Macaca mulatta: one gene and its partners. Each later gene encodes a partner of the first gene's protein in a complex. Links are inferred from orthologs where the notes say so. Each region holds a gene or a part of one and is shown in the gene's direction. Other genes may lie near its edges.

What was found.
Region 2: FNIP1 (region 1) and LAMTOR3 share a complex: the UniProt entries of both Homo sapiens proteins name them as parts of the lysosomal folliculin complex. The link is inferred for Macaca mulatta from reciprocal best matches to the Homo sapiens genes FNIP1 and LAMTOR3.
Region 3: FNIP1 (region 1) and FLCN share a complex: the UniProt entries of both Homo sapiens proteins name them as parts of the lysosomal folliculin complex. The link is inferred for Macaca mulatta from reciprocal best matches to the Homo sapiens genes FNIP1 and FLCN.

The regions. Positions count from the first base shown.
Region 1 is NC_133411.1:140,588,452-140,592,100, reverse strand, and holds part of FNIP1 (folliculin-interacting protein 1), read left to right. Parts: intron 1-2,796; coding exon 2,797-3,649. UniProt on the Homo sapiens protein: Binding partner of the GTPase-activating protein FLCN: involved in the cellular response to amino acid availability by regulating the non-canonical mTORC1 signaling cascade controlling the MiT/TFE factors TFEB and TFE3.
Region 2 is NC_133410.1:109,211,037-109,214,785, reverse strand, and holds the start of LAMTOR3 (ragulator complex protein LAMTOR3), read left to right. Parts: upstream 1-1,499; 5' UTR 1,500-1,583; intron 1,584-1,916; 5' UTR 1,917-1,953; coding exon 1,954-1,962; intron 1,963-3,749. Other genes in the region: uncharacterized protein LOC144340815, read right to left, coding at 1,251-1,499. UniProt on the Homo sapiens protein: As part of the Ragulator complex it is involved in amino acid sensing and activation of mTORC1, a signaling complex promoting cell growth in response to growth factors, energy levels, and amino acids.
Region 3 is NC_133421.1:18,780,962-18,784,610, reverse strand, and holds part of FLCN (folliculin), read left to right. Parts: intron 1-2,198; 5' UTR 2,199-2,222; coding exon 2,223-2,471; intron 2,472-2,649; exon of another isoform or gene 2,650-3,120; coding exon of another isoform or gene 3,121-3,126; intron 3,127-3,649. UniProt on the Homo sapiens protein: Multi-functional protein, involved in both the cellular response to amino acid availability and in the regulation of glycolysis.

The DNA.
Region 1 (3,649 bases):
CTTATGCCTTTTTGTAATCTCTTCCTCTTCCTCCCCCTCTTCTTCTCCCCAGTTTCTCTGTTCCTCTTCCACCATCCCTACACAGCCACTGGCTTACTTTCTGTCATGATAGATTACTTGCATTTTCTAGAGTTTTATATGAATGGAATCATGCAGTATATACTTTGCAGATTCACCTATTTTGTGTGTATTAATAGTTTATTCCTTTTTAATGCTGAGTAGTATTCCATTGCACTGACTTTTTAAAAATCAAATTATTAGTAGTATTTTTTAAATTGGGACATTTAAATCCTTTTTTAATTCTACAGTCATTTGTTCACTATCTAAGGCTCTGTGCTATAAAGATGAATGATTTGGAAATTGCCCTCAAGAAGTCAGCAGTCTAAGACTGTAGGTAATATATATGCAGACAACAATAATAATTCAAGGAGGAACTATAAGAGAAATGAAAAGTTTAGTAGGAGTTGAACAGGGGAGCCTACTTTTGCCCAAGTGAGGATGCTTAGGTGGGAAGCTATGGACTGGCAGAGATATTGAGGAAAGGGACAGGACATCACATGAGTAAAGAGTAGGTGTTAAAAGTGCAGAGCATATTCAGTGGTCCAGTTTAACTGGGTCTTTGCATGAATAAAGATGATTTCTTCTTCTGACTGCCAAGAAGGAGGATAAGTATAAGAAGATAAAGCTGGAAAAGTAAAATGGGAATCATGAAAGACTCACTTGCCATACCAAAGTAATTTCAACTTACTTGGTAATTCGTGGGAATCGTGGGAGTAATTTAGAACAGTGGCATGGTGATATTTGAGCCAGTGTGTTAGCCAGAGGAGAAAATTTATCATAATAATACCTATAGCATGTATTTATTTGAGACCTATTTATATTTGTTCCTTTAAAAAGTGTGAGGGCTTTGTAAAGTAAAAATAGAGGATTTTAAATGTATATACTAACAACTTGCAAAAATTAAATTAAGTTGAAATTAGTGGCTTTGTATTCTCCTTTTTCTTTTCTTTCTTTCTTGAGACAGGGTCTCACTGTATCGCACAGGCTAGAGTGCGGTGGTGCGATCACAGTTCACTGCAGCCTCAGCTTCCTGGGCTCAGGTGATTCTTCCACCTTTTCCTCTCAAGTAGCTGGGATTACAGGAGCAAGCCACCATGCCCAGCTAATTTTCTGTATTTTTTTGTAGAGACGAGAGTTTTGCCATGTTACCCAGACTGGTCTTAAACTGCTGGGCTCGAGTGATCAGCCTGCTTCCACCTCCCAAAATGCTGGGATTACCTGCATAAGCCACCATGCCCAGCCCTGTTCTCCATAGTTTTGGCACTGAAATTACTGGTTTAATTTGAAGTATAGCATAAATATAGAAATGATAATTTCTAGTCCTGACCCCCTCACTTCCCCTGCTTTTAACATAATCGCTAGTCATGTTTAGAATGGGTTCAAAAGTGAAAATGAATTGCATGGCTAAACTCGTTGCCCTTTCTTTTCCTTTTAGTAAGGATGAGTCTCTCTCTTCCTGCCCCTTCTGGCCTATCCTGTGTACCCAACCCTCTAGGGAATGGAAGGGGAAAATAGGCTCTTACTAACATGGGAGCTGGTGGGATGGGGTGCTGGCTAGGGGAACAACAGTTAAAGTTTAGAGATATGACTTACTTTTTAATTTTATTTCTTTTTTTCTTTTTTTTTTTTTTTGAGACGGAGTCTCACTCTTGTCGCCCAGGCTGGATTGCAATGGTGTCATCTCAGCTCAATGCACCCTCTGCCTCCTGGGTTCAAGCAATTCCCCAGCCTCAGCCTCCCGAGTAGGTGGGACTACAGGCATCCACCACAACACCTGGCTAATTTTTGTATTTTTAGTAAGTACAGAGTTTTACCATGTTGGCCAGGCTGGTCTTGAACTCCTGATATCAAGTGATCCACCCATCTCGGCCTCCCAGAGTGCTGGAATTACAAGCGTGAGCCACCGTGCCTGGCCCCAGAGATATGATTTAAATCAGGAATGATTAAGTGTGTGGTGTGACTACTCTAGCTTTGCTCCATTTTACCGCTACTCCTTTCCTGTCCTTGCAAGCCAGCAGATATTGTGCTTTGTCTTTTCTTGATTGGACACAGCTGCAGGGTCCTTGTGTACATAGTACTTCAGGCAGTACTTCTCTAACCAGGTAAAAATGCTCTTCATGGAGCCTGGGTTAAAGAATATTCTTGGGATATATGAGTTTCAGAACTGACTCTTTGCTTGAGGTTTCTGAACCATAGCATTTGTTTAAAGAGGAAGCCTGAAAACCCTTAAATTCACCTTTCTCTCTGGTTAAGACTATTCATCTCATCTTCCTCCCTTGAATAGTCACTCATCTGTTAAAGAACTAAGAATGAGGCCAGGCATGTTGGCTCATGCCTGTAATCCCAGTACTGTGGGAGGCCAAGGCCAGTGGATTGCTTGAGCCCAGGAACTCAAGATCAGCCTAGGAAACATGGCAAAACTCTGTCTCTACAAAAAAAAATACAGATAATTAGCCAGGCGTGGTGGCACATACCTATAGTCCCAGCTACTCAGGAGGCTGAGGTAGGATAATTACTTGAGCCTAGGAGGCTGAGGCTGCAGTGAACCATGACTGTACCACTGTACTCCAGCCAGGATTACAGTGTGAGACCCTGTCTCAAAAAAAAAAAAAAAAAAAAAAAAAGTAAAACCTAAACAACTACTCATACAGTAAGATTAGGTTTCTGATCATTAAAAATAGCTTACTTAGCTGTGTCAGTAAAGGATGTGTCCAATAACTGATTTTTCCATTACAGGAGACTTGTATGGCGCTATTGGCTCTCCTGTACGGTTAGCAAGGACTGTGGTAGTTGGCAAACGACAAGACATGGTCCAGAGGCTACTTTATTTTCTTACTTATTTTATAAGATGCTCTGAACTTCAAGAAACGCATCTTTTAGAAAATGGAGAAGATGAAGCCATCGTTATGCCAGGCACAGTAATTACTACCACTTTAGAGAAAGGTGAAATAGAAGAATCGGAGTATGTCCTTGTCACAATGCATAGAAACAAAAGCAGTTTGCTCTTTAAAGAGTCAGAAGAAATAAGAACTCCCAGTTGTAACTGTAAATATTGCAGTCATCCACTCCTTGGGCAAAATGTAGAGAACATTTCACAACAAGAGAGAGAAGATGCTCAAAACAGCTCTAAGGAGCTGCTAGGAATTTCAGATGAGTGCCGGATGATTTCTCCTTCTGACTGCCAAGAAGAAAATGCTGTTGATGTTAAACAGTACAGAGATAAATTAAGAACTTGCCTTGATGCCAAGTTAGAGACGGTTGTTTGCACAGGATCTGTTCCAGTAGACAAATGTGCATTGTCAGAGTCAGGCTTAGAGCCAACAGAGGAAACATGGCAGAGTGAGAAGTTGCTGGATTCAGACAGTCACACAGGCAAAGCAATGAGATCCACAGGAATGGTTGTGGAGAAAAAACCTCCAGATAAGATTGTGCCTGCTTCATTTTCTTGTGAGGCTGCCCAGACAAAGGTTACTTTCCTGATTGGGGATTCTATGTCACCTGATTCAGATACTGAGCTTCGAAGTCAGGCAGTGGTGGATCAGATTACCAGACATCACACCAAACCGTTGAAGCCAGAAAGAGGGGCTGT
Region 2 (3,749 bases), on another chromosome or scaffold:
TAGTAGGATTAAGGTATGCTAGAGAAATATCTCAGGCAGAATGTGCTAAGTTGGTAAAGTGATAAAAATCTTTATGGAAGTGGAAACAAACTTGTATGATCATAGCATAAGGAATCCAGGGTAGGTGAGAGAATCAATATAGGGGCCAGATCCCCATAAGAACGATATATAAACCATGATGCTGATATTGAACTTTATAATAAAGTTGATTTTCAAGAAAGGAGTTAAATGATCCGATTTGGGTTTTTAGAACATCATTTTTGTTGCTCTATGGAGACTGGAGGGCAAAAGAGAATGTAAGAAGAATAGGAGGTTATTGTCAAGAGAGAGATGATCATGGCTTGCACTAGGGTACGAACATAGATAGGTGACTAGTTTTCAAAGATAGGAGGTAGAATCAACAGAACTCTGATTAGATTTGTGACATGCAAGCAGCAATTAAAAACCAGGCTAAAATTTTCTGAAAATTTGGCTATGAAAGGGAGTAGAGGAAAAACAGGGTGGTAGCTGAAAGAGGATGTGATTTCTAAAGAAGCTTTTCTTTTGAGCATCTCGCTCTGTCACTCAAGCTGGAGTTCAGTGGGGCGATCACCACTCAATGCAGCCTCAAACCCTGGGCTGAAGGGATCCTCATGCCTCAGCTTCCGGAGTACCTGGCGCACGCCACGTAAGGCTAATTCTTTATTGTTGTTATTATTATTAGTAGTAGTAGTAGTAGTAGAGATGGGGTTCTATCTTGCCAGGCTGGTGTGGAACTCCTGGGCTCAAAGGATCGTCCCGCCTCGGACTCCCAAAGTGCTGGGATTACAGGCGTCAGTCACCGCACCCGGCAAGGCTTTTTTTTTTTTTTTTTTTTTTTTTTCCAATTATTATTTATTATATGAGACCTTACTAATTTTTAAAAATTCTGATGTAAAAGGGAACATAGAAAGTACCCGTAATCCCGTGTCTGCATGTTAAAAGTAGACGCTTGAAGTGCTCCAGAAAACCCATGGCTCCTCCCCATTCAATCTAGATAAGGCCTTGAGTAAAGAGCACCCATGGGGAAGTCACAAGAACCTAGGAAACAAGTCAGAAACCTGTGGACCTGATACTTCCAATCACAGGCAATCTGTTGCTTGCTCTTCAGCTCATCACACCATCCCCTCAAATTACTTCATCTACAAGAAAAGGTTTTAAGATAACGGACCCTGAAAAACTAATGACATTTATACACCCTCTCTGCACAAGAATGTCTTGTAACACATAACCTTGCTTGCATTTTCTGGGGTCCTCAGGGTCCAGCGATCTCGTACAAATCCTCTACCCCACAGCTGACGTCCCTCGGCCCGTGACACAAGGCGCAGGCGCAAGACGCGGCCCGCGGTGGGCGGGGGAGGGGCGGGGCGCGTCGGGCGGCCGCGCCCTCGAAGCTTCCGCCAGGCCCTTCCGGAAATCCAGTATCGTGGGGCGACGGCGTAGAAAGTGCTTCCCGGAGCGCCGAAGAGGTCATCAATCATGTGACGGTGGCTTGAGGAGGAACCTGTCTTTAAAGCTGTCCCTGAAGTGACAACGGAGAGAACCAGGCAACCCAGAAACCCCAGGTAACTGGCGCTACTTTGCCTGGTTTGAGGCCTAGTCCCGGAGGTGGCGCGGGTGGTGAGACTAAACAGAAGGAGAGGGCCCCCTCTTCTTTTGTTTGGGCCTAGCTCTTTGGGGTGGAGGGGCAGGGATGGGGTGGGCTGAGGCAAGGCGTGCCAGCTGAGTACCCGTGGGGGTGTTGGGGCACTCCGACTCCCACTGGGCTCGCTGGGCCAAGCCCTAGAACCGCGGGGGTTTTGCCGGGTTCTGACCAGGGCTGATCTTGCTTATTAAGTTGGGGGTGGGGAGGACGAGGAAGCCAAAGAGGTAAGAGTCACCGGGAGTTTCTCTTCCAGGCGTGGAGATTGATCCTGCGAGAGAAAGGGGTTCATCATGGCGGATGTGAGTGACACCCCCACATAAGAGGAAGGGAGAGTGGGGAATTTGGAGGGGAATACTGAGCGGGGAGAGGTAGAAGATCCTCCCATCCCCACCCATCCCAGTTAATTATTTTCTCTTGTATGTGAAATGGGAGACTAATATGAATGAATTTGCAGGATCCTGAGTTTCTGCCTCGAATGGGGGTGGAGGACACTAAGGTGCTTGAGACTGAGAAAATTATATTCTCCCTCCTCACCAATCCAGCTGGGGTATAAGAGAGGCTCTGTGTATTTACCATTTGAAATTCTGAATGATGGTTCGCTGCTTTTCCTGTCAGAATTTGGTCAGTAGGACATGTACCCAGAATACTTTTTTCCAGTAAGTGGTAACAATATCTTATTAGGTTTATTGTGGCAATTTACGATGATTTCTAACCCATGCCTCTTTAGAAACATAACATGAAATAAAATGAGGGGTGTGTGTGTGTGTGTAGGATGAGAGCAAAAATAAGCCAATAGTCATAACATGAAATAAAATGATCATTCGGGTTTGGAGAATAGTAAGTGTTGGAGGCTCAAAACAACAGATACCTGATTAATCCATGCGAGGTCAAAATTGATACCTCAAGTGTCAGTGAAATTCCTGGGATGAGAGAGTGTAATGAGACAAAATAAGATAATCTTCTGGCCGGTGAGGTGGCTTCGTCTGTAATCTCAGCATTTTGGGATGCCGAGATGGAAGGATCACTTGAGGCTGGGAGTTCAAGATCAGCCTGGGCAACGTAGCAAGACCCCGTTATACAAAAAGAAATTTAAAAACCAGGCGCATTGATAACCCTGTAGTCCCAGCTATGCTGGAAGTGAGGCGGAAGGATTGCTTGAGCCCAGAACTTGGAAGTTGCAGTGAGCCCCAGCTTAGAAAAATAAAATAGTCTTATATTTCTTTAGTCTTAACTGTGTTTAGTGTTAAACACTTGACACACTTCGCCATTTATCTTATATTCTGTAAGTCTGGGCTGGGCGTGGTGGCTCACGTCTGTAATCCCAGCACTGTGGGAAGCCAAGGCGGGTGGATCACCTGAGGTCAGGAGTTCGAGACCAGCCTGGCCTACATGGTGAAACCATATCTCTACTAAAAATACAAAAAAATAAGCTGGGACGTGGTGGTGGGTGCTTATAATGCCAGTTACTCGGAGGTTGAGGCAGGAGAATCGCTTGAACCTGGGAAGCAGAGGTTGCAGTGAGCCGAGATTGCGCCATTGCACTCCAGCCTGGACAGCAAGAGCAAAACTCCCTCTCAAAAACAAAAAAAAAGACTGTTGCCTCACATAGTCATATATAATTTATTTTAGGTCCTTAAACAGAATATTTTAATAATTATGTTATAATAATATGCCTTACACTGTTTCATTATTTGTTGAGTAGGTGAGTTCAACAAATAATGAAACAATGGAAGGCATATTTTTATAATGTGAGACAGCAGTCTTACAGAAGTCATATCACCTTACCCAAGACCATTAAAATGATGGTGGAAAGTCTATCTTTGAACCTGGAAAGGTGTTTATAATGTCTTCTCAAGTGAACACAATAGCAACAGGATATAAAACACTAGTATGAATATTATGATATATTTTTATGGCTAAAATGTATTTGTGTTTCCCATTTCTAGGTATGCTAATCCATGCAACTTCTCAAAAAACTTTAACAGCACTCTTATGATGTAGGTTCTATATTAGCCCTATTCAACAAATAATGAAATAGGCTTAGGGAAAAAAGGTTAGTTAACTTACTCCAAGTTGCATGACTAGT
Region 3 (3,649 bases), on another chromosome or scaffold:
CAGGGTTTCACCGCTTCGGCCAGGCTGGTCTCAAACTCCTGACCTCAAGTGATCCACCCACCTTGGCCTCCCAAAGTGCTGGGATTACAGGCGTGAGCCACTGTGCCGGCCTCTCCTAGCTAATTTACATTTTAAATTTAAGTTGTCACACATGGCTGTGGCCACCATATGGACAGTGTGGGTCTGGCTGCATGTGTCAGGCTGTGTCACATGTTAGGCTGTTGGCTGTGGCTGTCCCCACTGTGCACCTTTGCTTCTGCGGTCTCGTTTCCCGAACTTCTCTGCCTGTCAGAACCCCATGACACACCCCCATTGTAAAGCCTTCTCTGGCTTTCCTGCATCCGTTAGGAAGGTATATGGATGCCGCCGCGGCCAGCCCTCTGCAGTGTGTGCGTGGTGTCCCTCAGACTTTGTGCCTGTAGCTGCCCTTGGCCTTTGCATGGCTCCGCCAGCATCCCAGCCATACTGTGGCCAAGCTTGGGGCTTCCCTTGACTCCATGTCCGCACCAGGTGTCCCGTTGCTGGCTCTGCCACAGAAACTCTCCAAAGGGCTCTTTCTACCCACTCCTGTGAGCTTTTTCTCCACCGGAAACTGTGTTAAGGTCACCTTTGACCTCATCATTGTTCTGCAGGTTACCATTCCCCCTTTTTAAAAGATTGTGGTGAAATAATACATGACCTAAAATGCGCCATTTGAACCACCGTTGGGCGTGCAGTGCCGTGGCATGAAGTATGTTCACAGTGCTGTGCAGCCATCGCCACCTTCCATCTCTAGAACTGTGCCCTGCTCTTCCCTCTCCGCCCCTGGCAGCCGCCATTCCGCTCTCTGTCTCTGTGGCTTTGAGGGCTCTAGGTACCTCATATTTAAGTGGAATCCTACAGTGTTTATCTGTTTGTGACCACTGTAGATCACTTGGCGTAATGTCCTCCAGGTTCAGCCGTGCCATAGCTCTGGCAGGGTTTCCTTCCTTTTTAAGGCCATGTGACATTCCAGTCCCACCTTGCTAAAGTAGTTTGTTCACCTGGTCACTGGGGTGACCCTGGAGCTCCCTTCTGGCCTCACTGCCTGAGCTTGGTCACCTTGGCTAGCTGTCCTCCCTTCTCCACCTCTGAGCCTGCAAGGGCTGTACTCCACAGAGGTCCCATGTGCCATCCCTGACAGCAGCGCTTGGCTCTGCTGCAGTGGCCCGTCCCCGTGAAGGCTTCGCAGGCACTCACTGAGCCTCCTTTCCTCCCCTGCTCACTCCTCCTCTGCACTCTGCACCCCCACCCGCACTGTGCCGCTTCACCATCTGCCACCCTGGCCCGGGCCACTGTCCCTTCCTGTTCAGATCAGTCAGCAGGGTGCCTCAGCTTGTTCCCCACCTCCACCCTGGCCCCCGCCATCTTTTCTGCACATGGGCATGACTGAACATTTTCAAGTGAAATTCACATTCTCTCATGTCTCATCAGAACCCCCAAAGCCTCCCCAGTCTCTGATAACATATCCAGGGTCTTTTGGTGGCCTGGAGGAGCTGTAAGATCTGCTTCCTAAAGCCTCCACCCTGTCTGCTGCTCCTCTCCAAACACCGGACCCTACATGCCCCTCCGGCAGTACAGCACCCACCCTGCCCTTCATCTCTTGCTTGGCCCGTAAGCCAGTCCTTCCAGGCTCCTCTGGTCATTCCCCACGCGGGCCTCTCGCAGGAAGCAGTTTTCCTGTGTCCGCCCCCCACCCCCTGCAGGAGGTAAGCTGCGGAGGGAAGCGTTGTGTCACCTAGTGCCTCGCCTCACACGGAGCAGGTGCCCAGCAGATATGTATTGGGTGGAGGACCCTCTCCCCGTGGCCTTTTATCTGTTTGTTCCCACGGGGTTTGCCATGTTTGGCTGCAGTTCATGTCACTCGAGGACATTCCTTCCCTGTGCCATTGGCTTTTCGACTCTGGCTCTGTCACAACTCCAGCTGTGCTATCACTGGTCCACATCGTCCCCTCCCCTGTTTCCTGTGACTCCGGTGGGAAGATCCTGTCTCTGTTCCTCTCCTCTCGCCTGCATCCAGTGCAGCACTGGGGCAAAGCAAGGGGATGGGGAACTGGCGGGTGGCCTCTCCTGGGCAGGCAACCATGGCACCCAGGTGCTCCCTGTGCTCCAGAGGGGCTGGGGAGGTTTCATGGGGTGAATAGGCATTGGTGAGCTGACATGTCCCCTGTCCTCCGCAGGCCTCTCGCAGTCTCCAAGGCACCATGAATGCCATCGTGGCTCTCTGCCACTTCTGTGAGCTCCACGGCCCCCGCACTCTCTTCTGCACGGAGGTCCTGCACGCCCCACTTCCCCAAGGGGCTGGGAATGAGGACAGTCCTGGCCAGGGCGAGCAGGCGGAGGAAGAGGAAGGCGGCATTCAGATGAGCAGTCGGATGCGTGCACACAGCCCCGCAGAGGGGGCCAGCGTTGAGTCCAGCAGCCCAGGGCCCAAAAAGTCGGACATGTGCGAGGCAAGTGTCTTTGGGGTCTTCGTTTTGCGATCCCTGCAGTAGGTGTGGGATGGACGGGAGGACCTGAGAGCAGTGGATGGAGCCTCCCAGGGTGACACAGACTGCTTCTCAGGGGCCCTTCAGTTCCTTCTGCTTGTCCTGACTGTAGCTTTTGTTTGTTTGTTTGTTTTTGAGACAGAGTTTTGCTCTTGTTGCCCACGCTGGAGTGCCATGGTATGATCATGGCTCACTGCAACCTCCGCCTCCCAGGTTCAAGCAATTCTCCTGCCTCAACCTCCTGAGTACTGGGATTACACGTGGCTGCCACCACGCCTGGCTAATTTTGTGTCTTTAGTAGAGATGGGGTTTCACCATATTGGGCAGGCTGGTCTTGAACTCCTGACCTCAGGTGATCCACTTGCCTTGGCCTCCCAAAGTGCTGGGATTACAGGCGTGAACCATCTTGCCCCGCCTGTGTTAACTTCTTTAACCCACTCTGCCTCCCTGCCATGGCCTTCATGTTTGTATTCACACACTCCAGCCTGTCCTGGAGGCAGGTCCCCAAAGACCCCTGTTCCCAGCGGAGTTTCCTGCTCCCAGCGGAGTTTCCTGCTCCCAGGACCCCCAGTGTTCTCGGCGGGTCACTCCATCAGCTCTCGATCTCTTGGGAATGAGTGTGAGTTTTCCCCCGTGGGCCACTTGTTTGTGTGGAAGACCTGGGTCAGGGCCCGAAATCAGGGCTGAGTGTCGGACCTGTCACTGCAGTGCAAACAGGAACCCAAGCTTGTTCTTTTGGTTCCGCTGCAGAAGCAGAGGACGTGTGAGAGCTGCGTCCATTGCTGGAAACGCCTGTGAGGAATGGGGGGTGGGGAGCACCTCAGACCGGGGAAGGAGGGCACTGCCAGGCCGCTGGGGCGTCCTTGAGCTGGTGTTGGGGTTGCCCTTGGAGGAATCCTGTGACATTGTGGGGAGGGGCTTGCCTGACGCACTGCCACGCAGTCTTGGGGTCGGGGCAGCTCCAGGGCGTGCAGCCTCAGCACCGGAGTGACGGTGGCTGCAGTGGGGCAGCGAGGCAGTGGGGCTGCCGGGGTGAGCTGCCACACCAACATCCTGGAGCTTGGTGCCCGGCCTGTTCTTTATTAGGCCTCTCGCCTGTGCTGAGGCCCCTTCCAGGTGTTATTTCAGAGCCAATGACAGAG